Linked DNA regions of Struthio camelus. The protein of the gene in region 2 interacts with the protein of the main gene of each other region in a pairwise test. Links are inferred from orthologs where the notes say so. Each region holds a gene or a part of one and is shown on either strand. Other genes may lie near its edges.

Evidence for each region.
Region 1: the proteins of GOPC (region 2) and FOSL2 interact in a two-hybrid assay, tested with the Homo sapiens proteins (2 studies listed by BioGRID and IntAct). The two-hybrid records come from large-scale screens. The link is inferred for Struthio camelus from reciprocal best matches to the Homo sapiens genes GOPC and FOSL2.
Region 3: the proteins of GOPC (region 2) and MYOCD interact in binary tests that used the Homo sapiens proteins (3 or more experiments, as listed by UniProt). The two-hybrid records come from large-scale screens. The link is inferred for Struthio camelus from reciprocal best matches to the Homo sapiens genes GOPC and MYOCD.
Region 4: the proteins of GOPC (region 2) and VTN interact in binary tests that used the Homo sapiens proteins (3 or more experiments, as listed by UniProt). The two-hybrid records come from large-scale screens. The link is inferred for Struthio camelus from reciprocal best matches to the Homo sapiens genes GOPC and VTN.

Annotation. Positions count from the first base shown.
Region 1 is NC_090944.1:107,909,207-107,917,060, reverse strand, and holds the start of FOSL2 (fos-related antigen 2), read right to left. Parts: upstream 3,011-7,854; 5' UTR 2,393-3,010; coding exon 2,294-2,392; intron 2,006-2,293; exon of another isoform or gene 1-2,005.
Region 2 is NC_090944.1:64,707,585-64,714,684, forward strand, and holds the start of GOPC (Golgi-associated PDZ and coiled-coil motif-containing protein), read right to left. Parts: upstream 3,007-7,100; coding exon 2,713-3,006; intron 1-2,712.
Region 3 is NC_090960.1:14,175,115-14,182,435, forward strand, and holds the start of MYOCD (myocardin), read left to right. Parts: upstream 1-4,315; 5' UTR 4,316-4,793; intron 4,794-7,321. UniProt on the Homo sapiens protein: Smooth muscle cells (SM) and cardiac muscle cells-specific transcriptional factor which uses the canonical single or multiple CArG boxes DNA sequence. Acts as a cofactor of serum response factor (SRF) with the potential to modulate SRF-target genes.
Region 4 is NC_090957.1:16,421,320-16,429,033, reverse strand, and holds the start of VTN (vitronectin), read left to right. Parts: upstream 1-4,714; 5' UTR 4,715-4,984; intron 4,985-6,797; 5' UTR 6,798-6,885; coding exon 6,886-6,946; intron 6,947-7,476; coding exon 7,477-7,596; intron 7,597-7,714. Other genes in the region: NAD(+) hydrolase SARM1, read right to left, coding at 3,506-3,960. UniProt on the Homo sapiens protein: Vitronectin is a cell adhesion and spreading factor found in serum and tissues. Vitronectin interact with glycosaminoglycans and proteoglycans. Is recognized by certain members of the integrin family and serves as a cell-to-substrate adhesion molecule.

The DNA.
Region 1 (7,854 bases), about 43 Mb from region 2:
ACGGTTGTCCCATGTTGAGTGTCTCCTTGAAGGAAAACTGGACACAGCACTGGGATATTTCTGGGGAAAGTCAACTGGTCTGAGAGAGCGCACAAAATTCCCTTTAAAGTCTATGTTTACCACATGGCAAGTCAATGATTAGGAATATAACATGACACGCAACTTAAAAGAAAAATGTTCCAGCGCTGTGTTGGACGGGAAAAATAATTAAAAAGCATCAAAGTTTTGGCTCAGAGACACAATTTCCACTTAAACATGTGACTGATGCATCTTTTCTTGCTTTGGGAAATTAAAAAAAAAAAAAAAGAAGAAGAAAAATTTCTACAATGCATATTTTCTCTAGCGATAAAACTCTGCAGATCTCCACAGTCCAGAATCAGCAGAACAGACCAGTTCCTAGGGTAAAGGCAACGCTTGCATTTGATCCTAATCTATAACATCTGCAAGGATCAAGGGAAAGACAACGCACAGGGCCTTGAGAAATCTCCCAGATTCTTAAAGAAAACATTTCTGTTCTTGCTAAGCCAGCGTCCTGCTCAAAGCCCCATTAAGATAGTAACCTTAGAAACTACTTTCTGGCACCCATATCAAACGCTACACATGCGAGCTGCCTGGGGAAGCCACACAGCACCAGAAATATAAAAGGGGGAAAAGTAGTTTCAGCCCCTTTCGTGCAGATCTCAGTACCTCAAATGCTAAGCGTGGCTAGAGTTTCACAACCTCTTGAAACAAGTGCCTCAATCTAGTGCATCTAGTGAACCCCAGAGGGAAACAGAGACCAAAGGATTTGCACCTTGTCAGGTATTTTCAGTTTCTCAGACACCCCCCTGCTCCCCCAACCTTGTCCCGGCATTTACTGTAGAACAGTGAAGAATCTGGTTCCAAACTACAATCCCTGGAAATCTTCATCCTCAGCACAGCCCACAGAGGGCACCAACGAGATGCGTTTGGAGCAGGCTGGGAAATGCGGAGAGTCATTTCTGGTAAAACTTCTTTAATGTGAGGAATGTCACGGGCTGGTACGGTTGGCAAAGTTTAATGCTGGACTTTTTTTTTTTTTCTTGACTTTTTTTTTTTTTTAACATGATCCTATGACTTCTTGATGTGAAGACAGAAATGTGCTCACTCTGCCAGTTCACCCATACAAGCCACACAAGAAATAATAATATGGGGGGGGGGGGGAAGAGTACAACTCTGAAAAAGAGAGTGAGGATAGGCCAGCTGATGTAAACAAGTTATGAAATAACCTAGGTTTGTATAACTGGCCCGATTGTGTAATGCCTTCCACAGAAGTGGAGGATTTAGTCTGTGTAGGCATATAAGCTGTTTTAAGATGTTTTCTTAGAAAAAATGAAAAGGCTTGTTAAAAAAAATTACTAGTCTTTTAGGTCCATGAATTCATGCAGTTTCAACAGGAAATATCTTCCATTCTTCAAGTTCCATTTATTACTCAAGACCAGAAGCTCGCAAGAGGAAAGAAGTATTATCCCAGAGTGTAACTAGATCATGTAAGTCTCAAAAAAAAAAACTTGCTTTCGGAAGGTCAAAAGAACAGGAAAACTGATCAACAGCTCAACACCAGCCAGCAACTCTCGGCAATCCAAGGAGTGTCTGGGCAGCAGGAAAAAGCAAACTATCACACTGTAAGTGTTTAGAAGGTCTCACTGACGGGAAATGCAAAGACTGGTTCACCACCACAGACAGAAAGTTTGGGGGCAGGGGCAGAAAGCAGGGAGACCCCTTTAGACGCCTTAAAAGATTAAATAAAGGCTGCTTAAGGGGTGCCCGCGTATGTTTTAAGGTGGTCGCAACAGCGTCTTGAAATCACACAACCCCTCTCAAAGCCACTCTACAGCGAAGACGCCCAAACTGCTGCGAGCCAGCTCATTTGAAAGTGCCAGACTACCTGGAAAACGACGATGAAAGGAGGAAGAAACAAAAAATGAAGCAGCAGCTACCTAAGCGAACAGAAGCAGGACGAAGAGGACGGAGGAATAAGCTCCGCGTATGTATTTCCACTAGTATCCCCGGAGAGGACTCGGCTGCGGGGAGCGCTCTGATTTCCAGGGCAGCCCTGCCCCAGCGCCGCCGCCTTGCCCCGCCGGGACGGGCGGCTCCGGCAGCCCCGCGCCCGCCGGCAGAGCCCCACGCGCGGCGGGACGGCGCCGTCCGCGCACCGCACGCCCCCCCCGCTCCCCCTCCTCATCCCTCCCCAACCCCCCGCCCAGCACGCACCGAAACCAGCGGAAAACTCCGCCAAACTCGCGGCCCGAAGGGGCTTGCCCGGCCCTACCTGCTGCGCGGCGCCGCTGGGGTAGGTGTCGGGGTGTCCCGGGGAGCCGCTGCTGCCTCTGGAGGAGGTGTCGAAGCTGCCGGGGTAGTCCTGGTACATGGTCCGCGGCGGGGCCGGGGAGACGGGCCGCCCGCCTTCCCGCACCGACACCCGCTCGCTCCCTCGCCGTCTCCCCGCCCCCTTCTCCCGCCCGATCTTTTATTTTCCGCCCGCTCGCTCGCCTTCCCAGGGCTCCGCCGGGGAGGGGGGGGGGCGGGGGGGAGAAAAAAAAAAAAAAAGGACTTTGGGCGGAAAAAGGAAAAAAAAATAAATTTTTTTTAAAAAGCTCCGGCGATGCGAAAAAGGCTCCGCGAAACCCCGCGGCGGGCAAGGGGCTGCCCGGCGCGCGGAGGGCGGCGGGGGGCGCGGCGGGGAGCCGAGGCGCGCACACGCACGCTCCCGCGCCCGCACTCACACGCGCGCACCTTTGCGCTCCCCTGCGCGCCTGCCGCGGCGCGGAGCGCGGGACGCGGCGGCGCAGCGGCTCCCGGCTGCCCTTTTACAAAAAGTGGCGCGGCGCGGCGCAGCGCAGCCCAGCTCCGCGCCCGCGCCTCGCGCCGCTCCGCTCCGCGCGGCCGCGGTGACTCAGAGCAATGGCACCGCGTCAACCCCGCGCGCTTATTATCCGGCCCGGCCCCGCCGCCGCCGCTGCCGCCGCCGCACCATGTGCACTTGCACACGTCAAACCCCCGGCTCACCGGCCCCACCTCGCCAGCGCGGACGCTCCCACCTGCCGCCGCCGCCGCCGCCGCGGGGGGGGGAGGGGGGACCGCCCCGCCCCCCGCCCCGCCCCGCTCCGCTCCGCCGCCGCCCCCGCAGCCCCGCGGCGCCCGGCGGCCCCGCGCTCCGCGCGGCGGCGGCGCCCGGCGGGTTCCCGGCAGGCGCCGCCCCGCTCCCGGCCGCCCTCCTCCTCCTCCTCCTCCTCCCCCCCGCACCGCCCCTCCGCTTGGTCCCTTCCATTGTCGCACGTTGCCAAAAATGGTCATTTGCGTCGCTCTACGCGAGTGTGGGTTTCCTTGCCGAGGATGACGTGTTCCGATAGGGATTCCCTGCTCCGCCGGCCGCCGCTCCGGCTGGATTTAAAGGGGAACGGCGCCGCTGCGTCCGCCGCGGGTTCGAGACCGCCGCCCGGCCGCGGGGGGTTTTGGGGGGGGGGGGGGGGTCCAGGCCGCTCCGGCCGGGCCGGAGGTGGAGGTGGTCGTGGAGGTGGTCCCCGGAGGAGGGGGGTGGAAGCTCCGAGGGAGCAGCCGCCGAGGGCCCGAGCAAGCGGTAAGGGGGAAAGTAACAATAGCGATAATGACAAATAACGATAATAAAAAGCGCGCTGCCCGCGGGCCAAGCCGCGCCGCGGGGTCCAGCGTGTCCCCCCCCCCCCCCCCCGCCGGGTTGCCCTGGTGCGGGGCGGCGGCCGGGGGCTCCGTGCGGGGCCCGGGGCGGGCGCGGTGCGGTGCGTGTCCGCTGCCCCGGCTTGCGCTGGGCTGGGTGTACAGTCGTTTTTACCACTTTTTTTTTTTTTTTCCATTTTTTCTTCCTGTTTCTGTTTTAGCGCATCCCTCCATCCTGCTAGGAGCCGGCTGCAGAGCCGCTCCGGGCATCCAAACCGCAGTATGTCACGGTAGCGGTAGGTAACGAATCGAGGCATCTGATTTATGGCAGAAGCTCAAGGGCAGGGGCTGTGACAACCCATTTCAAGCGTGTTGCGTTAGGAGGTCAACGCCTGGCCCAGGCTGGGAGGTGGCAGGAGCACACGCGGCAGGTCTGTCCTCACCAAGAACAGGGACTTTTGGTGAGCCACAGCAAATACAGCAGTTGTGTGCGTTTACCGATTATTAAAATGCTGCTATTAAAAGTGAAATGTTTATTTTCCATCTTCCCTAGAGGATTCATCCAGCACTTAGAGCGTCTTTCCTGCTGTTAGGGAAGGAGAAATCATCTAACTTCAAGCTATAAAGTCCCATTTAAGTTGTCTCATGGAGAAAGTATTCTCCCACAGCAGCTCATCGGAGAGTAATGGGTGTTCCTGTACCCCTGCTATCATCCTAGGGAAGGAAAAGGCAGCACCGATGAGAACTCCAGCACTTTGGGGGAAGTCTGAAAAGAAGCAGCATGTCAGTGAGACGTCTTTAGCACCTGGCAAGCCAGGCGTTTGGGAGTAAAACTCCTGCTGATGCTGTTTGGTTTTCAGCACCTTCATTTTCCAGGCAATTGAAATGCTTGATCCAAATTAGCTGGCCTATTTTGTGCGGCGTCTAACTTGGGAGGAGGTGGGGCCAGGGCTATAAAAATAAACCAGTGCTTCCAATTTGCATTGCATTAGCAGCGAGGAGCTGGGGAGGGGGTGAGTTACTTTAATAGGCACTGTGCGATTGTGACGTTGTTTTCTCCTTTGATTGTACGTCAAACAGATGATCTGCACATGCTTGATTCTGCTGGGAAGAGAATTAGTTCAAGATGTGAGAGGAATTAGCCTGCAGTCGTTAAGGGACGAACAGAGGCAGAAAAACACACATTGTAATAAAAATAGCCTTAACAAAAGGTTTTATTTTTGGCTAGTCACCTCTCTTGGACAGCTCTTCTGCCTCCAGTTCTCCTCAGGTACCGGCTACTGGCGGCCCCAGTATCTACTGGATTACATGAACCACTGCTCTAATTGGGGATAATAAACCTTGGGTTTCTTCATGTTTTAAATCAAGCTGGTAGTCTTGTAGAAATGAAGCTACTGTGCACTGAGGAATGCAAAAGTAATTGGTTCAGAAAGACAGCCAGAAAAAAGGGGGGAAGGATGTGAGGAGAAAAGATGCTGTAGCTTTAGTATTAGGGCATTTTGCTAGTAGAGACCAGCTTTCTTGCTCATACTCCTAGAATTGTTTCTATATATATTTTTTTTCCTGTTCATCATTAAACCTAAAATACCTGCTTTCCTCATGTTTCAGCTCCAGCACAACATTTTGAGTGTTGTTTTCAAACATTATTCCAACATGATTTTGGCACATCTACCACGTCCTGCCAAATTTGCATTAGACCTTGTCTGGGAACAACTCACTTGAAACGACGTTTAAGTGCTGTTTTAATATTCGGCTTCAGTTAATGTGGATGCAATTAGTTGACACTTGTAAATCGTCAAGTTAAAAGCCCTGTAAGAAGTGTAGGAAGTTGAAAGCACACCTGAGGCCAAACCCTCACTTAGTGTCAGTCAGTGAACTTCTACGGCTGGATCCGCACCACCTTATCCTCCGCAAGCACCTGCCCCACAGCCCTCGGATGCAGTGTTGAAGTAGGCAAGTTTTACAGTATATTTACATTGACTTTGGTAGCGTTGCTTCTGGCCTGAGAGCATAAACTCTCTCGCTAAGAGAGAGCCACGCATGCAAAAGGGAACAAGAAAAGTCGGGAAAAGTAAGCAGCCCTGTGGAGGCTTTTCATTCTGGTATCAGCCCTTTGTAGTACTTTTTTGTTGTTGTTGTTGTTTTTGTGGGTTTTTTTGGATTCAAATAACACAGGCCAGCCTGGCTCCCAGTGCCCCAGACACATGCATTTTTAATCCACGTACAGACCGAGCTTCATTGTGCAATAAGCTCCCTGCTTCCAAAAAAACAAGAGATAACATGTGTGTCTGCCTAGTCTGTTCTTGCCTGAACCACAGACAAATTAAGACCAACCCAGGTTCCAGGGCGGGAGAGGATCACTCTAAGGCAAAGGAGACTGTGGCTGCCTGTGCTCCTGCGTTTCTGTAGCAATTAGGAGACTGAAACCAAGACCCGGGAGTGCTTTCCACAGCGCGCTTGCAGGAGCGAGGGTTAAGGGTACGTGGTAGCACCTTAGACTTAGCTCTTTGCAAGCGCGTGGCAGAGCCTGGGATTTATACTTCCTGCTCTCGGACTCCCTTTCCAGGCCCTGCTGTATCGATCACACTGTGCCACCTTCTTAAAGGCGCGACAATTGATTTGAGATCAAAAGGGAGAATTACAGTGACGTTCCTCTTTCTCCTTGCACCTCTCCTTCAAAATCGTTCACACTCAACCTACGAAGAAACCTGCAGTAATTATCTCGTCTTAAACGTGAACTGCAAGCCGTGAGCAAAAGCTTAGCAGCGCTGTGGCTGCCTGCACCGTGGGCTGGGCCAGCCGAAGCCCTGGTGACCTGAGGCAGCCTCCAGGCTGGGCAGGGGAGTGAGGGCGCCCCGGGGAGTCCTCACGTCCCTGAGGAGCAGGAGTACGACAGCTTGGCACTGGTGGGGTACGGGAAGCTGCAGAAGAGCCCAAGAAAGGGTACAAACCTTTTTTCCCGTATGGTTCCTTGTGTCCTGTTTTAAAACTGACTTCCCCGTCCCAACGGGCACTATAGCTATTACCATTCATTAAATTGCATTTTTACTGTATAAGCAACTTTGTCCCTTCCCAAGACCTTCTCCTCCACTGAAGAATCAGCATGTTTCCAGGGCTCTTCAGTGCTTCCCAACAACTGTACTTTCATCTGTGCAAGAAGTTTGCTTTCATATTGTTTCTGTAAGTGCTAAGAGCAAGTGTTTTGATGTTAACTTCTGGGAACAAACTCTTAAGCTACCACCTCACACTTAATTACAGTTATTTATTAAGTACTCCAGCGTATCCAAGAGAGAACGGAGGTTTTCTGCTTCAAAGTGTTTCTGGACATAGTTTGGCAAACACCTTTCACCAAGTAGAGTGCTTTTCCCAAGCGTGCACTGTCAGATCACAGAGGCTTTTCTGCTGTTGATAATCCTGTTGTTTTAGGAAGGCCTAACTGTGTACACAGGGCCCGGACCCAGCCGGGCGCCTTATCTTTGCAGCAGTGAGTCACGCCTTTGAATTGCTCTCAGGTGACTGCCGTGAGATGCTGCGTGTGTGCGAGTGCGCCCAGCTGGGCCAGGCCCACCTTCCCAGCGGGGCAACTGCTGCCCTACAGCCCCTTCGCCTCGATGAGACTAATCCTGCCGCTCTTCCTGCAGCCTGGCGATCGGCTCTCCTTTAACTCTTTCACAATCCCCATGCCAATAAAAGCCCCAGGATAAAGCCAGATACTATGATGCTATTGAGCCGTTTGCACAAAGGTTCAGTGAAGCTGGGGGTGAGGACAGGAGTCTCTCTCCCAGCGTTAGTTCCCTGTGCCCCAGCCAAATCGGTCCAAGTGGGGGCCTGCGGCATGGCCTTGAAGGCCTTAATCCTGTGGTGGGGGCTGCAGCCTAAAGCAACGCCCCACCAGTCCGAGCCCCTTTCTCCCAAAAGCTCCTGGGAGCCCTTTCTTTGGTGAAACCTTTCCCTCATCTTCCTTCACGCCCATTTTCTCCTGCTAGCTTCACACATATGGCAGCTTTGCTCTTTTGGCATTTTCCCTAGGGAAAAAGGTGAAATGCTTCCTCCCCGCTGCCTTCAGCACCTGCAGCGTGGGGCAGGACAGGCCAGGAGCTGGGGAGGCCAGGCAAGGGTGGAGGCTGCGGTCCTCTGGGGCCAGGCAGCACGGGGCAGCGGCAAAATGATGCTGCAGCGCTAGCAGCGCTGAACGCT
Region 2 (7,100 bases):
TTTTTTACTAATTTTTTACTATTACACTGATTTCCCTTTGCAAAATAATATCATACTCTCAATAAGGCAATGGTATGCAAAAAGTAACTGCCAGAATAAAGCCTTAGCTTCTAACAGTCACTGGCACACTGAAGTCAAAGTATTACTTTGATCCAAATAAAAGGCATATTTCTGAAGATAGATTTAATGTATTGGCTTGAATAAATGTTTGTTACCTAAGTAAACTATGGCTCATGACACTTCACCAGCATAATGAAAACTTCATATTAAAGTGTACAAGCACTGTAAAATTACTATTGTGAGCTATTAAGAAATGACTATAATTTGAAATATTGTATGAGATACAGCACTTTGCATTTTAAAAAACATAAATCCACTTATCATATCTTAAATTCCAGTATTAATCCTGATGAGTTCTTCAAAAATTGGTAACTGTATCCTTCAATCTGGACCCAGAGGCTTCTGATTAGACACCTGTGCATGTAAAAAGACACTCGTTCTCAACAGAGCAGTTCTTTTATAGATTTTAAATGGCAGTTCTCACTCCAAGTTTAAGGGTCTAATAATGATGAGGTCATAAAATTAACAGCCTTCAAGACAATACTGCAAGGCAATACCTTCTAAAGGTCTATCTAAATGACAAAAACTCCTGTATATGTATAAGGCCTAAAACAAGTATTAAAACTATTTCACAAAATAAAAGGTTTTTGCCTCACTTCTGAAGTGCCCACTCCAGATTCTCAAAACCATTGTTATCACTGAATTATTTCTCACACTTAGACACATACACTCATGATGCTACTGAAAGTTCTAACTGTGCTCCTTTGCTCTTCAGCTCGTTCACGACTGAGGCACAGACCTTCAGTTATTAGGTGCCTAGCCCCTGACAATTTTAATTAGATAACAAAATATCTTTCAGGATCTGAGTTTTGTTGTTTCCTTTCAAAATATTTAAGCTTGAAAGAACTTTTAAAAGACCTATTTGCCATGCGTCACTCATTCTCTTAAAATAATCTTAAAACTCATATGTTTTACAAGTCTGTGCACAACACCCACCGTGCCCACGGTGGGTGCAATAAATACTGATTGCCTACTATAAACTCATAAATCTTAATTTACTACACCTATACAATTAAGCTCACATACAGCTTGAGAGTACAAACCCAGTACTAAAAACGTGTATGACAATAAAGCAAAACAAAAAACAAAGAGTACTGCAAACACCACTACAGTAAGTGTCTGGTGAAATAAAGACTGCAATGAACAAAGCTCTTTGTCTGTGGGGGTCTCTATTCTACTCTGAAATATCTTAATTCTCGGCTAAACTCTACGAATACAATTTTGCATAACAGTGCCTTCATATCAGGAAGGAACCATATTAAAACCAAAGCCAATTTACTGACTTCACTTCCTTCAGTAAAGTACTGCAGAAGTGCAGGTTATGGTTTGAGGACTCTTAAATTCCTTTATTACAATAAATATAATAGGGAGGTTTAAAAGAACTGAAGTCTATGGTTTATTTGCCTACTGAAGCTCTTACAAAGGACATATCTTCATAGCTTCTGAGAAGTTTTTCCCGTTCCTCCTGTATATTCCGAAGTTACTAGAAGAAACAAGAGAACCCTAAAAAGCACAGCCTACAAGAGATATTAAAGAAATTGGGGTTTTCAGCCCAAAGAAAAAGTGAAGGAAGACATATCAACAATCTTCTAATATGTAACAGAAAGAAGGGCAGTTGCTATCCATATCTGTCTGGAACAAGACAAATGACAACACCTACTAAAAGAAAGATGATTCAGTTGTAAAAGAACATTCTGGCAGTCAGAGACGCCCTGTTTCCCCAGAATCTCTTTCCACAGTCCTCCAGCTCTTGTGCAAGTAACAGGACGTGCAGCCCCTCCTCCTGAGCAGCATCAGCACCAGCCAGCGTGGCTCCACCAGATGCTTCTCTCTTCCCACCTTTACTGAAGTTCTCAATTAGACATGAAGAAAACTTTCTGACAGTAAAGACAGCTAGGCATTATTTTCTTCACAGAATGTGCAATGTCTACTACTAATTTTATGAGACCAAGTCAGGCAGGGAGCTATCTGATCTGCCTTGGAGCATGGAGGAACAAGAGGACCTGTTAAATCCATCCATAAGTCATTGTCAGTTTCATTTACTTGTAGGCTGGAATAACACTCTCATTTTGACCACTGACTATAAGCTTTAAGTCTCTTGGTAATACGTCTTTTTCTCATCTTGAAAGAGCTTACTGAATTCACCAGGGACCTGATGCAAATGTAAGACCAGCCAAAGGCATCTGTTGCTCAAGAGACAAAAGCTGCTGCTTTCAACTTCAGAGAACTCTTTTTTGGCTTGCACTGCTTCACGCTCATACTGTAATAATCAAACCCAGAGGATCAGCACGCCAGGCCCGAGTCCTGTGGGACAGCACAGAGCCTCTCAGAGCTGGGTTAACCTTCCCCAGCTGCCGCTGCCCTGGCACCCAGCCGCCACAAGGCGCAGGAAGGGTTCTCGCAGCCGCTCGCATCTCCTCGCAGGCCCTCAGCAGCGGGCGGGACATCCCTCCCAGTCCCTCCTCGCCCACCCCAACACCTCAGCGCAGGGCACGCCGCCACCACCGCGAGCCCGACGGCACAAACCCCGTGGCGCCCACCTCTCCCTCCCCACAGGCCCGCCGCCCCCGGAGGGCCTCAAGCCCCCCTCACCTCCAGCTTGTGGTTGATCTGGGACACGGTCTGCGCCTTGTGGCAGAGCTGGGCGAAGCAGGAGCTGAGGCTGGTCATTTTCTGCCGCCCCTCGTAAGTGATGTCGGCCTGGTCGGGGTCGATCTCGCCCAGCAGCAGGTCCACATCCACGAAGGCCTTGTCGAACTCCTTCTCCAGCACTTCCAGCCAGCGGAACATGGACACGCCGCCGCCCGGCGGCGAGGCAGCGCCGCCCGCGCCCCCGCCGCAGGCCCCGGCGCCCGGCCCGCAGGAGCCGCCCCCCGCGGCCGACATGCTGCCGCCCCCTCCCCGCGGCCCCCCGCGCCCGCGAGGCAGGGCTGCCGCCCCTCAGCGCCCGCGCGGCGCCTCCCCCCGCCGCCCCGCTCCGCGCCCGTCTCCGCTCCCGCCGCGCAGGACAACGCGGTGGTGGCGGTGGCAGCAGCAGCGGCCCCAGCCCGGCTCCACCGCGGGCAGCCACGCAAGGAAGCGAAAGGAATGCGCCGCGCGCGCATGCGCGCCGCTGCTGACAGGCGGCCTCCGAGGCGGCGCGCTCGGCCGCCCGGCGGCGAGCTGCGAGCGGCTCGTGCTGCCTGCCACAAGGCCAAGCTGCGGCAGGCAGCAACGGCCGAGCCCCAAATCCCCGATCTCGGCCGCGACGTCTCTTCCCGTGCTGCGCCACGAGGGGGCGCCGCTCTGCGCAGCTCGCCCCCGGCCGCCAGGCGGGCGCGCCGCCTGCCGCCTCGGAGCCCTTCCCCGTCTTTCCAGAGGCGCCTTTTTCGGTGTCGGCGGTCCCCCTCCCTCCGTACGGGCGTCCTCGCACGCGAGTTTCGCCTGTCCCCGGATCCCCGCAGCCGTTCTCAAGCCGCCCTTTCTCCGGCAGCCCCCAAACCCCTGTCACGTCCCTCCCCGGCACCGCCCAGCACCCCGAGCTTTGGGGAGCCCCCAGGCAGCTGTCATGCTGCGCCCAGCGCCGCAAACGCGCCCGGGCAGCGGGCGCCTTGCCACGAGCCCCGCCCGTGCCGGCACACCGCCCTCACGCGGCCAGGCGCACGCTGGCGGCACGGCCTGGGGCAGCCGACGGCGGGCCACGCCCCTAACGGCCGCGCCCGGGGCAGCCGACGGCGGGCCACGCCCCTAACGGCCGCGCCCAGGGCAGCCGACGGCGGGCCACGCCCCTAACGGCCGCGCCCGCCTTCGCCGTCGCCGTCGCCGTCGCCGTGGGAGCGGTTAGGAGGGCAGCGGTGCTCCCAGGCTGCCATCTCTCGGCCGCCAGCGGCGGCTGTCTCTGAACAACGCTTTCAGACCTGGGATAGGGCGCTGCTCGCTCCGTCCGCCCTATCCAGTCAAATGCGTATCTTTCTCCTGGTTAGGAAAGCGAGCCTTCTCACGCTTTCCATTTGAAAAAATGGTTCAGGAGACGGATGTCGCTGGAATATTGGTACAATTACTGAAAATATATTCATTTCCCCCCCCATTCTGATATGGATTTCAGTGAGACCATTGTTAGTAGCTTTTGTAGAGATCTCACGCAGCTTTACTTCATTGCATCAGAGTAAAAATAGTAATTGCACTTCAGAAGAGAAAAAGGGTAGTTTTAACCCAGATCAGCACTCTAATCCTGCCTCCAGCACGGCCCCACAGGCTGCTCTGCTAGCACAACTCGGGGGTCCTCCAGTCAGCAGTGGAGTGGAACTACCCTGACTGTGTAGTCATGCACAGAAAATGATCATGGCATGTCCCCTGCGTGCCCCACTCCCTGGGCTGTAAGTTATCCTGGGGCGAGTTTCTTTCTGTTGCTCCACTTTGCATAAATAATTGATTGGGACACAGAACGAATGAACAGCTCAGTGGTTCGGCCACTCACCTGGAACGTGAAGAGAGATGTTTAAGCAAGACAGAACTGTACTTCCATCAATCTGTGCTTTCAGAAAAGCTAGATGAAAGCAAACTCTACACCAGCAGTACGTAACACATTTCCTCTGGGATCTGATATCATAGCTTTGACAAGAAGCTTACAGATCGTTATTACAGACCTGCTCATTTGCCATTTACTGTTCAAATTGTCAGCAAATTGAGATAGGTTGTAACGAACTGAGAACCTAACTGGGGTTCTCTTCCTATTAAACCCATCCATGACAGCAGAAAAGCTACCAATACCTTTAAATATATACCTATACAAAGAAATCTACTGGCTCAGTAAATTTGGATATTCAGAATAATAGCTCAGCAAAGCGTTTAAGTGTTTAAACTCTAGACATAGGCACCCAAGTACTTTTGCACGAGCCAAGTTTAACAGAGCATTTGTTTGACCTTCATTCAAATGTTCATTCTCCACAAAGCATATCATATTGACTGTGTCACAGTTAATTCACAATAGACAATCAAAGAGTTTGCTGTATCCAAACCTAAACTATCATTGTTGTCATTATTGTTTTAAATTAGTTCAGCCACATGATAATATACAGCTTGTTTCAGGATTATCAGTTTTATTTGTTAGTTTTGGCTTTGATTCTGGTAGATATCATACTGGAGAAATATCTAGAGGATAAAATTCCATTCTCTGCCTTTTAAAATGGAACAATAATCTATCACTTACCTAAGTATTAGCATTTTCTGTTAATGTATCTCAGTCACACTTTTAAACATTATATGCTTATCTTGATAAAGTTTCCCATAGTTACTATGTAGCGTATCTATAGCAAGTACTACTTTTAAAAGCATATACTTGATGTAATTGTCTCTTTATAAGAATCACGCATTCTCAGCTTTTTAGAGTGTCCTTTCCCTCTAGCGTAGGGGTTGGTCCAACTCTATCTTAAATTGTATTTATCTACAGCGGTACCAGATTTTTCTGGTCGTTAATTTTAACTCATTCGTCCCTTGTCAGTGCTACATTTGTTTTGCATGTCCTTACATTTCACAGGTCAAACAAGGTTTTGTCTTTACTTCTTTCACTCAGAGATTAGCTTCTCAAATACAATTGCTTTCTAAGCCTGCCTCCAGAGTAATAGTTGTCTAACACTTGCTGGACTATGGATAAATGAAAAGGAACTTTAAGGAACTTTTTTTTTAAGAAAGCTGTGACACCAAGTCTACGGAAACGTAGGGTACCACTGTGTAGTATAGCTGAGTATTCCTCAACAGAAATTCTTTGTAAAAAGGCGGTTAACATTAAGAATATATGTCAGGGATATAAGGGTAAAAACATGAGTATTTTAATTATCTTAAAACTATAGTTGCAGGACCCCTAAAAAATTCTGAGCGATTCCAGTTACCCTTAAAATGCCTGCCAAAAGTAGCCAGACAACCTTAACTCTGTTCTGTAGGCAAATCATGCAGTAATTATGGAAGTGAACCTCAGAAAAGTTAGTAGTTTGGACCCTCAATTCGATTAAATTGATTTTAAATAAACTGTAGGATATTCTACCCTGATAACATCAACAACATGTGATAGTTTGAGTCAAGTAACCTACCAGTAAGAATTCTTGATATGTGGGTCTAGTTCTACTATGCCTAAGAGATATTTCTAACAGTCAAACAGTTGCAGCAAAATATGTGCTAAGAAAAATTTAAATTGGTTCAATACCTTTAATGTCAAAAGGACCTCACTTAAAGTTTCCTGATCTGCTGATCTGGCCCTATCTTACAGCAGAGCTAGGTTAATCACAAGCTAATTTCTTCACAAATAATTTATGCACATCATTTCAATTATTCAAATAAGATAGAGTGTACAGAATGCAAAGTGTCTGGGTTACTCTGCTGTTAAGTACCTTTGAGTAGAAACAGTATTTTATACATTTAAACTTACATACTTTCACTAATCACTGGAGTACCTAATAAATTCTCTGAAAACTTACTGTGCGCTCAAACAGTAAATGATGATAAGGGGAGTACACGTTTTCATACAAAGCAAAGCAATGTAATACCTGAATCAAAAGAAAAAAAACACTACTCTGATCAACATTTCCACTGCTACATATTTAGTACCTAGTGCCCATGCTAAGACTGGGAAACTGCTGCGTGAGATGTTCTGCAAGCCCTTGGTTAGAGCTAGCCTCTGCACAAAGAGCACATGTGTTTAGATTGTACAAAGAATGTACAATCTAAACACATGTGTTTGCACATGAAGGTCAGTTCACCTAGAAACTTCTGTAATTGCAGCCACCCAGCTGTGCATGCCAAGCTGCAGCGTGCACACATTATCAAGGCCATCTTCTGTGTGGTTAGCGCTGTGGAAACAGCTTGAATGGTTTGACGGTGTGGGTGGTTGTACAGTCAGGGCGCGAGATACCAGAAACAAAACGTAAGAGAAAACAAAGAATATTTTGCAGTACCAATGCGGAAGACAATTTGAGATGATACAGCAAGAATTTCATACCCTAAAAAAG
Region 3 (7,321 bases), on a different chromosome or scaffold from region 2:
CAGAGTGAGGCAGACCCAGTTGCCATCCCTGTCAGAGCAGCACAGCAGCACCGGCTCCTGCACGTGTCGGAAAGCCCCAGAGCATTTCCCCAGGCAGCCACCCCGGCACAGTGTGGCCAGGGCTGATCCCAGCCAGCTGTGGGGCCTGCCCGGCCTGGAGATGTTTATTTGGGGAAGGCTGTAGCCGTTCATCTCGGCATCGCTGCATGCAGCCCACCACTAAGATCTGCACTGGCAGTTCTCGCTGACCTGCCCCTCCTGCCATGGAAACAGAGGGAACGGGGCCAGACTCCAGACAGGATGAACTCCTCCAGCTGTGTCTGGGAACCCGCAGCTCATATTTCACTCTGCTCCCAGATCTCCCACTCGGGTGACACCAAACGCGTGTCACACAAGCTGGAGGCGAGGGCTTATGGCCCCCCTGCTGCCAGCACAGTCTCAGCCCCTGAGCCTCCACCCTCTCTGCCCTCTGTCTCCCCATGGTGCAGCTTGGAGCCAGTGCTTCATCCCAGCTGACAGAGACTCTGTGCAGGCTCTGAGGTCCCCCGGTACCCTCTCGTCCAGAGATGGCTGCACAGTCTCCAGCACCAGACCCATCCCTTCCCAGCTCTGCTACAGGTTAAATGGCTAAAATAAGTAGTTTGAATACACCACCTGCGTAGTGCTGAGAGGCTGAAACTGGATGGAAAACCAGCCTGGCCTACCAGCCCCTAGAAGGTCAGGGGCTTCTCCCAGGCTTTGCCACATATGGATCACAGATGCCCCAGGCTGCAACCAAGCCACCCGCTTGCCCCGCTGCTGTGGCTCACAGAGGTTTGCAATGCCAACAGGCAGATGGGGAGGGCAGCTGTGCTGCATGGGCAGTGAATGATCCCAAGCGTCTTTCAGATTGCATTGCTGGGGCCAGGAGAGGCAACCCAAGCCTTCTTTCAGCAGCGTGGCAGCTCTGACCAGCTGAACTGCTCTGTGCCCTGAACCAGCTCGTCACTGCAGGCTGCATGGCCCAGACGCCAGACCTGAACCTCTGTTGTGGAGTGCTGTCAGCACGCCATGCTGATAAGATAAACTGAACATGTATGGAACGGACAAGGAAAGGAAATTCCACCTCCGGCGTGATCGTGTTATCCAGCCTCCTGCTGACTCTGCCTGACCCCATCACAGAGCCAGCATTCAGGCATCCCTGTAAAAACTTTCTGTGAAATGGATCCATAGCCCTTCTGTCTTGCAAAAGCCTCAGGAGAGCCACACTGCCTATATTCATGTGGATGCCCCCAGGCCTGGGCACTGGCAGAAGGGAGGATCTTGCAACCCCACACTCAGGAGCAGGTCACCAGAGCTCTTGGCAGCTTTCACCACATGAGAGCAATGGGACTAAGTGCCACTGAAGTGCAGTGTCCTGGGGGTCCTGCTCTGTCAGGCTGCAGGAAAAGGGATGAGAAGACCAGTATGGCCAGGCCTCTGTGCAGGTTTGCTGTGAGAGCTGGGCCGTCCTCCTGGACTGAACTGGCAGCTCACACAGCAGCATCTCGCAGGAAAGGTGCTCCTTCTGCTTCCCCCTCATCCTGGCCTAGCTCCCAGAACTAGGGTGGGATTTAGATGTTGATATACTATTAATAGATTTCTCCCAGGCAAAGGGACTAGATGTGATATGAAATTAACTTCTACGGGGACCATCATGTCAGTGAGATTATTGTGGTAGGCCCTTTCCGGTCTCCAGCTTAGTCCCCTCCTAGGTCAAGAGCTGCCAAATGAAGCAGGCCTGTGCCACAGAGACCTTGGACTGCCAAAGAGCAGGAAGGGCTCCATTTATAAGCTGCCAGATAAACAAACCTGGTGGGAGACCAGGATTTATGGAAGAGCTGGAGAAGGGCTGGGGGGGAGGGGTGAGGGGCGATCTTTCTGCTACATTTGCCCTGCCAACAACTTCTGCACAGACTAAAGAGACATGTTTGTTAGTAAGAACAGTAGGTTCACAGCCGGGTGAGTTTATGGCAAGCAGGATATAAATAAATAGAAGAAAAAGGACTTTCCCCACAAGGAAGCGTCGTTCTGCCCGCCTTGGAAAGGCTGCCCTTAGGCTTGATGCCAGTCAGAAGAGGGCTCTCTTCTCGCCAGAAATAAGGCCATATTGATTGCTTTCATCAAGGAAATGACTTGCTGATGTCCAAAAACAGAAAATTGAGGGTTTTTTGGAAGCCTAAATGTTTGGGTGGTGGGACTGCAGCCACCACCATCCCCAGAGCCCATCACAGCCCTGAAGAGTGGCACATGCAGGGCACATGTGGGTGAATGGGGGTTGCTGCCATTCTGCTTTTTATTGATGAGGAGGAAGGATCAGAGAGAGAAGGCATAGGACAGAGTCAGAAGCGCTAGCAGTATGGACAAAAAACCTAAAAGAGCTTTGAGGCGCAATGTTAACGGGGAAAGGAGTTGAAGCCTGAGCAAAGACACTGCCTTTTGTCTGACTTCTTCTATGTTCAGAAAACACAATTTTGCACAGGCAAGAAGTATTGCATCTGAGGAGACCCTGTCTCCACCCAGGTTCTCTTCCTAACAGTGATAAACTGCAAACCTGCAGACTTCAGCCAAGGCCTGAGATCAAAAGGGGAAGCATTCATGTAAGGGATATTAAAGCATTATATATGTGCTGCATTGGCACGGCTCTGCACAGGATAGGCTTAGGCTGGCATAAACCCAGAAAAGGAGTTGTATAGGTCATGAAGTGACACAACTAGGGCACTGAAGTGTGGAAGAAGTCAGAGAGCATTCAGCAGCGCTTCACTCTTTACTCCCAAAGATCAAGGACTAAGGCTGGAGAAATCAAGTACTCAAGTACTTTGGGACCTGCTGTGCCGGTCCCACAGTAAGGATGATACAGTGAACATGCTGAAGAGCAGCTCCATTCCCAAGGTGAGGCCATAGCCCTGGGACATAGGGGAACAGGCTCACATGCACCCCCTTCTCCTCGATTCGTGGCCCAGTGGTGCTCCCCAAAACTGCCTTTTGGTACCCCTTGACCATAGTTGGGTGCTTCTGAGCGTGAGGGTCTGTATGGACATGGGGCTGTGGTGTCTCACACTGGCCCAGGGCAACGACAGATATATCCCAAAAAAAGGAAAAGAGGGACTTACCTTGGCCTGTTCAGGGCACAGGACCCCTCTTGTCAAGAGAGTTCTTGGTGCACAGTCATGCCTCTGTCTATCATGCATCTGTGCCCAGGGTTTTACACTGAATATGCGGCATGCCTGCTTGGTTATCAGCCTCCAAGCAGAGAGCTCACTGCTCTGACTTTACCTCTTTCTCAAGAGCCCAAACACCCTACTCCCGAAATGCCAGGCTTCAGTCATAAACCTCCCTATTGCTTTGTTTTCCAAGCGGATAGAGCACTAGGTGCCCCAGCCAGGCCAGGTACTGTGACTTAGGACAAGAGCTGAAGATTTTCCAGCAGCAAATCCCAGCGCATCAGAACCTGGGCAGTTCACCGTGAAAAGGGGACTAGTTTCTCTGGTCAGCCAGGCTGGCCTTGCTAGGCAAATGGGAATGCACCGAGGACTGGGACATAAAGCACGTCCAAGTCAGGCAGGCACTGACACACAACTTGTTACCTGCTAGTTGGATTCCCTACCCAGCTCCTTACTATGTGGGGTAAGGCTTTTCCAACTGCACCTGCTTCCACATATGAATACTAACGTACTTAATGGGCTGCTAAGAGAGGGAAGGTTGTCGTTCTTGCAGGAAGAGGGAAAAACACAGCAAAACCAAGGCACCACATTCGAGTCTGTGCTCTGTCGCAGTCTGCTTTAAAGCAGTTTGCAAAGATGTGGGGGTCTCAGGCTCTGCATTGCACATAACTGAAGCCAAACTCTCTGGGAATAGCTATGGGAATTTCACGGGAGAAAACGGGCAAGTTTGCAGCAGATGAGAACAGGGAGCTGTCTCTAAAAGTGTCCCACACAACCCCAGAGACTTTTGCGTTTCACCAGTGAGCTCAGGTTGCTCTTTCAAAAAAGGTGAATGGTGACCTCTGGAGCTTTCCTACTTCGAGGCGGAGAGAGAGACCACTTGGGATATTAAATCAAGGATTAAAAGGCAGGTGAAGGAGGAGGCAGCACAAGGCAGAGCAGAAAGTCTGCTCTGGAGGGACGCACGCATCTGAAAGGAAGGCTGCAGCTACTGCTGTTATCTGAGCCCTGGCAGAGGAGGCTCCTCCTCTTCCTTAACTCTTGCAGAGTCAGGGAGTGAAGCCTGTGGTCCTGGGCTGCAGCTCGGGGCTGCCTGGTTTGCTGCGCACTGGGTGGGGGGAGCACTTCATGCAGGGGAGCCCCAGGGCTGTGTGTTGACGGAGGACCACAGCCTTGCACTGCCGGCAGGGCTGCGAGGTGGGAGACCACCCTCACCAGCGCCTAGGCTCTGCTCACTCCTCGCGCATTTGGATGCTCTCCCTGCCCCTCACCTTGGGCCATAGCTCGGCAAGGTGAAAGACTCCCAACCAGCCCCCTGCCACAGCCCACCGCAGCCAAGAACGCATGCCTGACAAGCCCCTGGCCTTCTTTCCTCTGCACTGCGGGCTGCAAGAAGTTAATTTATTTTTGGAAAAGCAGCTCTCAGAGTTTGTCTAATTCCATCCGCACCAGCTCCTTTCACTCTATTTTAAACCAGTTCTTACTGTGCTTCAAGTTTATAAAAACAATCACTGCTCCCTGATAAAAGCAGCCCTAATCCTCGGAGAAAGCAAGGAGTCACAAAAGCAGCATCTCCTCCAGGAAACTCTAGCTCAGCTGAAAAGTTCACAGGTAATTTACATTTCGTACTTAACATCTTTCTGTTCTTGTAACTGCTTTCTCACATGCGTGTTTAGCTATATAGACACATGGCACTTATATAGGTGGCATCCGGTTCTCTAGGGAGATGGAGCGCAGTTAGGCATTATTGTTACCTGCTACTTCTTTTGGGTTATTGGCAGGGGCCTTGGTGACCAGGGCACCTGGCAAGTCTTGGACTACGCGCGGACCTACATGGATCGTCCTGCTTGTTTGGGACAGAGTACAAGGTGCATTTTGCGAGTCAGGAGCTGGCCCGCCTGGAGTTCCAGGCAGAGAAATGTGGAAGGATTCAGTAGCTGGCTTTGCAAAGGAAAGATGATGGTGTAGGGCCAAGTGAGGTCTTCCCAAAGGCCAGGCTCTTGCTTTGGTACAGCCATTTAAAGGCTGCTCTGAAGGTTATTCTAATCCTGCGACCTCACCCTGCTCTAGACATTATCCCTCCCTGTGGGTCAGTCTGTGTGATGGCACCCTGCTTTTGTCCCTTTTATTCCTGGATTGATAGGAGGATAGTGCCACAGCTCTGTTAACTGTGGAGGGTCATTCTGATTACGCAGAACACTCAGCTGTTTAATGCAATTTCTCCATGACTCACCAAAGCATCCCACTGAAACTGTTTAGAAAAGCTCCCAGCATCGCTCACGCTCAGAAATCCAGGGCATTTACGGACCACTTTGTTTCTTTTAAATAAATGCATTGCAAAATGTTGCCTGACATAAACTACTGATCTCATTTGTTGAGCACTAAAGCTCTCAAAGAAGGCTTTGTCTTCCTTGTGCTGTGGTTGCTGGAGTTTCAGGGTTAATGCCTTCAAAAGCCCCGCCTTGGCAGCAGTGAAACAGTTACATTTCCAGGACAGTGAAACTGTGCAGGGAGAGGGAATAGGACTGCGAGTGCATTGCCAGGACAGGGCTTTGCTGATTCTCTCCTTTCCCCGCAGATTGCACGACCCAGCCCTGTGCGCTTCCTCTCTCTGATCATCAGCGTGGTCTTCAGGGCACTTACATGCGTCTGGGAAAAGAGGTGTAGCTTTGGGTTTTGGTACTGTGTGCTATAACTGCTGCTTTCCTAAAATCCATCCAGGAGCTGGTCAGCTTTCCCCACTGCCTTTTGATAAAACATGCATCGTTTCAGCTCTGAGTGGAAAAAAAAAAAAAAAAAAAAAAGGCAGGAAAATGAAAGTTCTTTTTTAGGACTGAACAAGGTGGTTTCTTCTGTAAATGTCACTTGTCAGGTGACCTGAGAGACAAGCAAAAGCTTTTGGATCTAAGGACCACACATCCCTATCTCTCCTGCTGCTCTGTCCATGTGTTTTGGTGGTCCAGTTTGCAGAGAAAGGGTAATGTGGTTGCTCTGTGGTGTATGCAGGCTAAAAATAGTTTCCTTCTCGTGCTTCATCTGAATGGGCAGCCACATATGACTGTACATGGATTTGTCTGATAGTCCCGTTTCAGTGTAAGAGACAAAATATCTTAGTTATGGCTTTGTTCTTCAGCTAACAATGGGTAGCTAAAAATATCTGACTTTGTTCCACTCAATAAAGTTCTCTCAAGGGGAGACACTAACGTTACATTTTTGCCAGATTCATGCAAAATGCAGCCAAAAAAAATTCACATTTTTGCCAACAACTTTTCATAAAACGTAACTAGCAAAAAAACTTCACACTGTTCTGCGAGTGGGGCTTTGCTCTCTGCTGTGCAACAGCATCCTCAGGCTCGTGGCTGCCCGCTCCCTGGAGGCATTCAAGGAGGGCAAAGCCTGGCTACGGAAGAGCCGCCTCCTCCTCTTCCTCCTTTTCTCACCCTCCCGGCTGGATTGCTCAGCTCCCTTCGGTGAGGGCCCGCACGCTGCCAAGCCTGCTGCTTTCACGTGGGCCAGTGCAGTCAGGCTCAGCGGGTAGGCGGCTAAGTGCCATGACAGTGGTGAGGCAGGGCGTCGCTGCCTGCTCGTGCCTGGCTGGGGGAGAGTGCCCGAACGCTGCTAGTGGCAGCTGTTTGGTGGTCGCTGTGGTCTCACTCCAATTCCTGTATTTCCCTCTTTGTGGCAGTCAGGCCTGGAGGCCAGCCAAGCCGGCCTGGTCCCACTGTGCAAGCAGTGTGTGTGCAATAAAAGCCTGGCACGGCCTGCTTCAAAGTGCTCACAGTCTGACAGCCAAGAGGAAACTAGCAGAGACCTCACTGGGCTGGCACAGGCTCCACAGAAAGGAATATGATGGGCCCTCCCATGCTCGCCCCCATCTCCAGCTAAAATCTCTGCCTCCCCACCGCTTCCACCCTGTCCCCAGTGCCTTCCCTCTAGCTGCCATGCTGCACCATTGGTAACTGTGCCCAGGCAATAGGTCAGTCAGGAAAGCAGGAGGCCAGGGTAGAAGGGCAGGGATGCCGGCAGAGGGGGATGTGCACAGTTAATGATAAATCGCGGCAAAGGCAGCAGCTTTGGAAGCTGCCTGGCCAAGTGATCCCATCCGTTATGCCCACAGGGGGCCGTGCTGGTCAGCCTGC
Region 4 (7,714 bases), on a different chromosome or scaffold from region 2:
ACAGCCCAGGATCACTGCACCAGGGGCTCCCTTTTGCTCTGCATAAGAGGTGCAAAGCAAGCAACAGCCCAAGGTAAGTTAATGCTGGTCGAGAACTGTATCTGTTTACTCAGCCTTCCAAGGTGTGTGTGAACTACTCTGTGCTTGGGAGTGAACACTTGTTTGTCCCTAACCAGCGTTGTCACCTGGCTGCCTTCCAGTTTGGTACCGAGCGCGGGACAAGGTGCTTCTCGTGGGGCTGAACGACTGCTCCTGAAGTGTGGCAGTCCAGGCCATGATTGAACCTCAGGTCCTGGCTCTGTGCCACAAACAGCAGAGTCCAGCACCTCTACAGCCTTCTTATGACGCAGAGGCAACAGATCACGGCCCTGCCCTGCCACGTGCTCAGTGCGTAGCCATTACATGTCCAGGACATTGCCATTCTGCTGTCCGCTTGGACAGGCGTGACGCCTGCTCTCTGATGAAGACAGGGAAACAGCTTGCATGTGAACAGAGATATCCTGGTTGCACGACTGAAACTGCACATACGCTCTGGCCATGTGGCTGATGTGTGTGTGCGCCCTCTTGGGACTGTGACAACCGTGTTTCGGTCATATCACTGTACCAATGAGGTCAGCGTAACAGGGAGAGACTGCAGGGCCCTTGTGAAAGGAGGCCACGGGTTTGCGAACTGCCAGTAGTGCACGGGTTGCAGTGATCTCCCTGCCCGGTGCTGGGAGACGCAGGACTGGCTGCGGGGACACATGAGAAGCTAGTGGTAAGAAATGGGAACCTGACTGTCCTGCTGAGGACCGCCAGATACTGCTTGCGCGCGGCCGGGCTTGAGAGCCCTGTGCTATGAGGATGGTCTTGGAAAGATGCTTGGAAGAAGGGGGCTGTGCCCTAATGGCCTAGAGCGAGGAGGAGGGTGGAAATGACAGGACTGGGTGCTCAGCTGCACTCCCTCGGGTTGAGGGGACCTGGTGGCTGGGGTGACAGTGAGTGTCAGCTTTGTCTCTGGCCTGAGAAACAAGTGCTCTGGTGCTGTGGTGGATCTGCTCCATCTGCACCGCACGAGTGTTGGTGCAGATAGCTCTTACTGTGTTGCTTGTAAGGCTCAAGCCTGTAAGGCAGTGCTCTATTTCAGCCCCTGGCAGTGGTGGGGTTGAAGGCACACCAGCGTCTCCATACTGGCAGGCAGGAAGGGCATTTCTGGGAAGCCTGTGGCCTGCATGGCTCACGCTGACCTTGGGGTGGATTTGGCAGCAAACGCTGCGGAGAGCTCTGGGAAAAAAGTCCTCACCCTGAGGCTGGCTCCAAGCCCAGGTTCTGCCATGGCATCAGATGACAAACACAGACCCGTCGGGTCCCCAGGGCTGTGGGATGGAGCCGGTCCAGCTCCCGCCTGAGCCCTACTGCTGCAGCACTCGGGCACCAGTAGAGCTCTGTAAGTCGGAGGCTCGGACCCAGGAGCTCGGACCTGTGCCACCCTACCCTCACTCAGAGGTTAGCAGGAGGTTGGGGCAGAAAGCACCGGTGCTGTGGGGAGTAAGAGAAGGCTGGACCGAGGCCCCAGCACCCAACAGCTCTTGGAGCAGAGACAGCAACTCCTGCAGCTGCTTTCTCTTGCCAGGAAGTGATGTGCTGAATTCAGATCATGCCTGTGACGTTTTCTTGGATTAATTCCGCCCTAATGGACTTTCCTGGTTTAGCTCTTTGCCTCTCTGGGCCTCACTGAACGCAGTGGCAGGCAAAGGCTGTGCGCCCACCACAAGCCCAACGTGGTGCCCATCAGTCTGTGTGCTAAGCAATGTCCAGAGACAACCCGACCCTCTTAACAGCTCCCCTGCCCCAAAGCTCAGCATACCCCAGCTCTGCCTCAGAGCGCAGCTCCGGGAATGGGACTTTGGTAAATGTTTCCTAACCCCACTGATACCTGCAGACTTGCAGGTGTTCCTCTTCTTTACCAGGCAGCTCTGCATACCCACACCAGTGCCGTCTGGTGTGAGCCCACCCCTGCTGTGAGATCCCCGTGGACTTCACGGCTGCCACAGCAGGAGGTCCAGGGCAATGTCCCTTCCAGCTAATATGCACCTTCTCGAACAGCCCGAAGCCCTGGCCGAGGACGGAATAGGGCGATGCAGATGCCTTCACACAGAGCACAGCAGCGGGAGCTGTGCACTGAAAGGCAGAGGGGACCTGTCCTGGAAAATAAGGCAGAGCAGCCAGCGGGTCGAAAGCCTGCGGAGGGGATGGGGATGGAAACTCCCCAGCACGGAGGCCCTCGTGGTAAGACGCGCTGCACATGAAGCTGGAGCAAGATTGTGAACTTTGGCCAGGCTTCCTCAACGTGCTGCCGAATGCCTGGCTTGGAGCAGGCTGGGCTTGGACACGCTGCCACGGCTGCTGCCTCGCCCCGAGGACTGGAGCCACAGGAGCTATCTGTCAGCAGGGCGTTAGGAAAAAGAAGGAGCAATGGCCCCTGGGACAGGGAGAAAGCAGTGGCAGCGATGCAGGGCTCTGTCAGCAGGAGGGCACCTGTGAGTGGAGCCAAGGGCTGAGCCCATTTAAAGCTGTTCTGGGGCTGTCATCTGCAGGGCGGACAGCAGCGCTGGGCTGGAGCGCCTGCTGCGCTGCCTAAGTCCAGGGCCTGGAGCGAGCTGCCGCCCGAGCCGGTGACCCAAGGCTCCTCTGTGGTCACCAACAGAAATGGTGTCACAGGGACAGCACAGAGAGCCCAGACGTAAAAGCTGCAGCAAAAAGGGACAAGTGGTGGAGCTCCTCCCAAGGCCGTACCTGGCCACGGGCATGCCCGCGCCAGCCCTGTTCAGCTTGATCAGGCTGGGCAGGGTGCTCCCCGCTCGCTCGCGGCGTATGGACGCAGAGGGGCACTGGCCGAGCGGCAGCGAAGGGGGAGCGGCGGAGCTCCTGGGCATGGGCCCCGTGGGCCGTGCCCAGCTGAGGGCCGGCTCCTTCAGCTGGTGCTGCCCTGCCCCTGCTCGGGGCTGCCAGCCCCCGGCACGGCGTGGTGCGGCCCCCCGCCCAGTGTGAAGCAGTGCAGAGGCCGCTGCCTTCTAGACCCGCTTGGAGTAGATGGGGGTCTTGTCTCTAAGCAGGAGTCGGGCACGTTTGCCTGCACAAACCCCGGTGTAGAAAGATCTGAGGCAGGTGCAGCTCATGTCAGGTGCATGGCTTCTCCCTGGGGTCTAGCTGTGTCGGGAGCCTCCATGTGAGTGCTGTGTGCCGTGGTTTGGGGTGGAGGGTGTTCGAGGTCCTGTGAGCAGCCAGAGGAGGGGAATTGGGGGGATGTTGGTGGGGTGCATGGAGGAAATTGCTGCTGTGCATGGGCGGGGGGGGCGTACATGCAGGGGCAGGGTCTGCACGCATGGAGCGATGTGGAGGGGAAGGTTGCTGCTAGAGGAGGGGGTCTATCTAGGGTGGGAGCCGTGTCTGGGGCGCACGCTACGCCGGGGCCAGCTCCGGGGAGGGCATGCTGGGCGCTGGGCTGGGCTCTTTGCAGACTCACCTGTTTTCTGCCACCAGGATCTGCTCGAGGAGTTTTCCTGCCTGGCACTTGGTCTCCAGCTCCGCTGTGTTCAGCAGGTTCAGCAGCAGGTCCAGGCCACCCTCCAGGCGGATCGCATCGCACAGCGCTTTGGCCACATCCCTCCCCAGCGTGGGCATCCCCCAGGCTTCCTCCACCAGCTGGAAGACCTCTGCAAGGGCCCTCCTCAGCTCCGCTGGGCCAGCCGCCTGCTTGGCGGAGGAGATGGCCAGGTGCAGAGCAGGCAGGATCCGGTCCAGGGCCACCTGCACATCCATGTTCACCCCGGGGGAAACCTCACGGTGCTCCCTGGAGCTCCCCCCACCTGCCCACCAGCCCGGCTGGCTCACGCAGTCCGGCACCACCAGCCTCTCTGTCCCTGACATGGCGAAGAACCGGCACAGTTTATAGACGGAGACGAGCAGGGTGAGCACCATCAGCAGCTGCTAGCACAGCATCCTTGGTCCCCCTCGTGCTGGGAGTGCCCGGGCAGGGCTGCCGTGCTTCTTGGGGAACCGGAGCTGGTCGGAGGAGATGGCAGGGAGGTGGAGGAGGGGGGACGGAGCTGGCCAGGAGTCCAGCCGCTGGGCTGGGACACCGGCTCCCTCTCCCCTCCCTGCCCTGCCAGGATGCGGAGCTGGAAGCAGTGGCAGGAACCGCCTGCCCGGAGCCAGGCTCAGCATCTCCAGTCCCCAGGGACTGATGTCACCCCGTTCAGGCACCGCCTCTCCAAGGAGGGGCTCGCCAGCAGCATCCCCCTCCTCGCCGCAGATGCTCTGGCATCCTCCCAGACCCCTCCTTCCACCGCAGCTCCTGTCACAGCCCTCGGCTTGCCCAGCCTGGGCTCAGGGCCTGCCTGGCGCTCCTCGCCACCCCGTCCCCCCTCACCCAAGCTGCCGGGCAGCCGGCAAGCAGCTCCCCGGCGGGCAGGGGCTCCTATGCTGCCCGCATGGCCAGGCTCTGACCCGAGGGACCACAGGATGAAAACAAAGGGCTGGACCACGGCTGGTTGTGGTTGCACACCGGCAGTCCTGACCCTGCATTTCAAACACATTTTGAATCGGTGCAGTGGGCTGAATAGCTCCCCTTGCCGTGGCATGAATCCTGAGCGGCCTTGCTGGGTGGGCTCAGGATTTGCATTATAAAAGAAAGAGCAGAGGCAGCCTGGGCTGCTTTATTTTTTTCCAGGCCAGACGTGCTCAGGGCAAAAATGTTGTGGACGCTTCTCGCCTGTGTTGGGAGGAGCAGCTCAAATCCTTGGCTCCAAAGCCAGGCTACTGCCAGCTCAGACTAAGGCTTAAATTCAAGTTGATGTTTTGATGCCACAGAGTCTCTTTTAATCCTCTCTCAATCCACATGCAAGGGACAGTCACGGGAAAGCGACATTAGCTCACAGCGAAGGACGGTAAACAAGGCGATCCGAGCGGCATGGTACTGCAGGAGACGCTGAGCACAGAAGCAGTAAGGATTTTGCTGATAAATTGCTATTAACCGGGGGTGACACTGATGCGGGCTGCTGTGATGCAGTGCAGCAGAGGGGTTTGCTACCTCAGAGGAGGGTGTTGTTCAGAGGGGCAGAACTCAGATCATTCCTTTTAGCTTTTCCTCACAAGCTCCTAGAGCTTGTCTTTTCTTTTCAGGATGGATTTTTAGCAACACCAGGCTGGGCTCTGTGTCCGATCTGTGTTCCCAGCCTTGCCCTGGGGAAATCGGCCCGTAGCCTGAGCTCTCTTGGCTGGCTTTGCTCCCCTCAGCAGCAAGGGACCCCCCAGGGCCTGGTTACCCTAACCCTGGTTACCCTAACCAGCCCCTCTCCCAGGGGTCTCGTCCCACAACAGCTTTGAGCGTGGCCGCAGGGAAGGGCTCGCCCGGCGCCCAGGTCTGCGGTTGCTGGTGGCCAGGAGGCTGACGCTGCGGGGGGCAGCTCCGAGGCTTTGTCTCTGCCCATCAGCCAAAGCAGCACAGACGTTGCTGAGCCCCTCTCGTTGCAGCCTCCCTCACCTGCGCAGAGGGGACAGGATCCCCCTCCAGCCCTGCTCGTTCTCCAGCCTTACTTTGCACGAAGCTGTAGTGCAACGCTGGGCTGGTGCTTGCATGCGGGGACGATGCCAGCCCTGACGGAGCAAACAGCAGGGTTACGAGGCTGCAGAAGTCCTGTCCACACAGCCTGCTTCTGGCAGCTGTCCTCAGCTCCCCAAAGCTTTCCTGGCAGGCAAACATACCTTTCTCAATACCAAATCCAAGGTCTTCCAGCAAGATTGGGATCAGCCAATGCCAGGAACTGCCTGTGCCTGACCTGGCAGAGGCAGGGCCCCCGGAAAGGCAGGCAGCGGCACCCGCCAGCCTGCTCAGTTTCTTCTCTCTGCAAATCTCTTGTCACTTATTAAAGCTCAGAGCTGTGACACCGCTGCCCCAGGGCTGGGGAAGACCCCTGCGGCTCTCCTGCCCCAGCAGTGCCGTGGCAGTGCAAACAGCCAGAGCCAGTATCTCTGTAGCCTCAATGTGCATTTGCTCCTTAACCCTGATTACATAACCATCCCGGAGTTATCAGAAACTGCAGAAAGAGCTGAGTTGACATTAATTAGTAACTGAAAAGATTGGCTGGAAAGGGGATAATGGGAGCAAAATACACAGGCTTTTATTTGTCTACTGCAGTGAAAGTGCACAGGACTTGCTTCCCCTCCCTCCAAGCTGTTCACCTCTGGCCCCTGGTACCCATGCACAGAGGTGGCATCTGTCCCATCCTAGGCTGCCACCTCTTGGTACTCCCCAGTACCAGACACTGAGAAAGCAAAAATCTCTACAAAACGGTGATGTTTCAGGCAAGTGTAAGCCCAGGGCCTTTTCTTTTGCCCTTTGAGCTCTGACCATCAGCGGGATCCTTGTCTCTCCCCACTCCCCCTTAGGCTTTTCATCCTGCCTAGACCAGGCTGGGAAATAGCCTCCCACTGAGACGACCGGTTGGGAGCTTTAATACCGTGAGATTTGCTAAGAAAAAATTGTGGCAAGGCCTGAAAAGTGGTTCCTATTTCTGACCTCCTGTCTCCCCCGGCTCTTTGAATGCGTGGCCAGCCTGCGTGCTGGCCGGGAAGGCGCAGACAGCGAAAGCGTGGACCCTGGGCTAGACCGCGCTGCGCAGCCAGGGAGCCTTGTCCCCATCCCACCCAGCCAGCTTGGCCCGGCGCCGCGGAGGAAGGCCGGGGGGGGGGTGCATCTCTGCCCCTTTTTCCCTCTGCTTTGACCTTGGCCTGTTTGTTTTCTCCCGCTGGGGCAGGCTGAGTAAACGGTGGAGGCCGGGGCTCCGGCTCTGCCGCGCTGCAGCCCGCACACTTGCAGGAGGGCTGCGCTCCCGGCCGGCCAGGATGAGGCTGCTCTTCCCTGCCCTCTTGCTGGGCCTGCTCGCCGCGGCCCGTGCTGCTGAAGGTGAGTCTGAGCTCTCGGCCAGACGACCCCGCTCCGGGCGCTTGCCGGCACCGGGTTACAGCGAGGTTGGGGACGGAGCGGACCCGGCTGTTGGGCACTCAGAGTGGCTGGGGGAGCTCAGGCAGGGTGAGGAGGGAGACAGGCAGCATGTGGGAGCCCCAGCCATCCTGCTGTGTGGGGCAAAGCCGAAAGCGGGCAGCACAGTTTGTGGGCGTCAGCGGTGCCTCTGGTGTCTGGGGCGAATCCCCGGCCGGGCTGCGGCTGGGTCGCGGGGAGCCAGCACGCAGCTCGGATCGTGGCACAGCCCCGTCCGTGACTCCCATCCCGCCCCAGGGAGCCAGGGGTGGGGAGCAGGGCGACAAGGGAGCCCCTGGGGCTGGGGGAGGCCGCAGAGAGGTGAGGTGTCCCTCGAGCTGGACTTGATGCTGTTGCCTCTTGCCCCCGGGGCTGGGGAGGGCCGGGGAGGAGAGGTGCTGGCCATGCTGCCTGGCCCACGTTAGTCCTTCCTCGCTGGCTGGTGGCTCTTCCAGACTCCTGCGTGGGCCACTGTGAGGATGGCTTCGATGAGAAGCGGAAGTGCCAGTGCGATACCCTCTGCGTGTACTACCAGAGCTGCTGCAGCGACTACTCCACCGCCTGCAAAGCCAAAGGTACCGGCCCTGCTGGAGCCCTCCGTCCCCAGCTGCCGGCAGCGAGGGGGCCGGCTGGGCAGAGCGGGGACCTGGGGGGACGCAACCCTGGGCTGCTGGTGCAGGGCCAGCTTGGCGC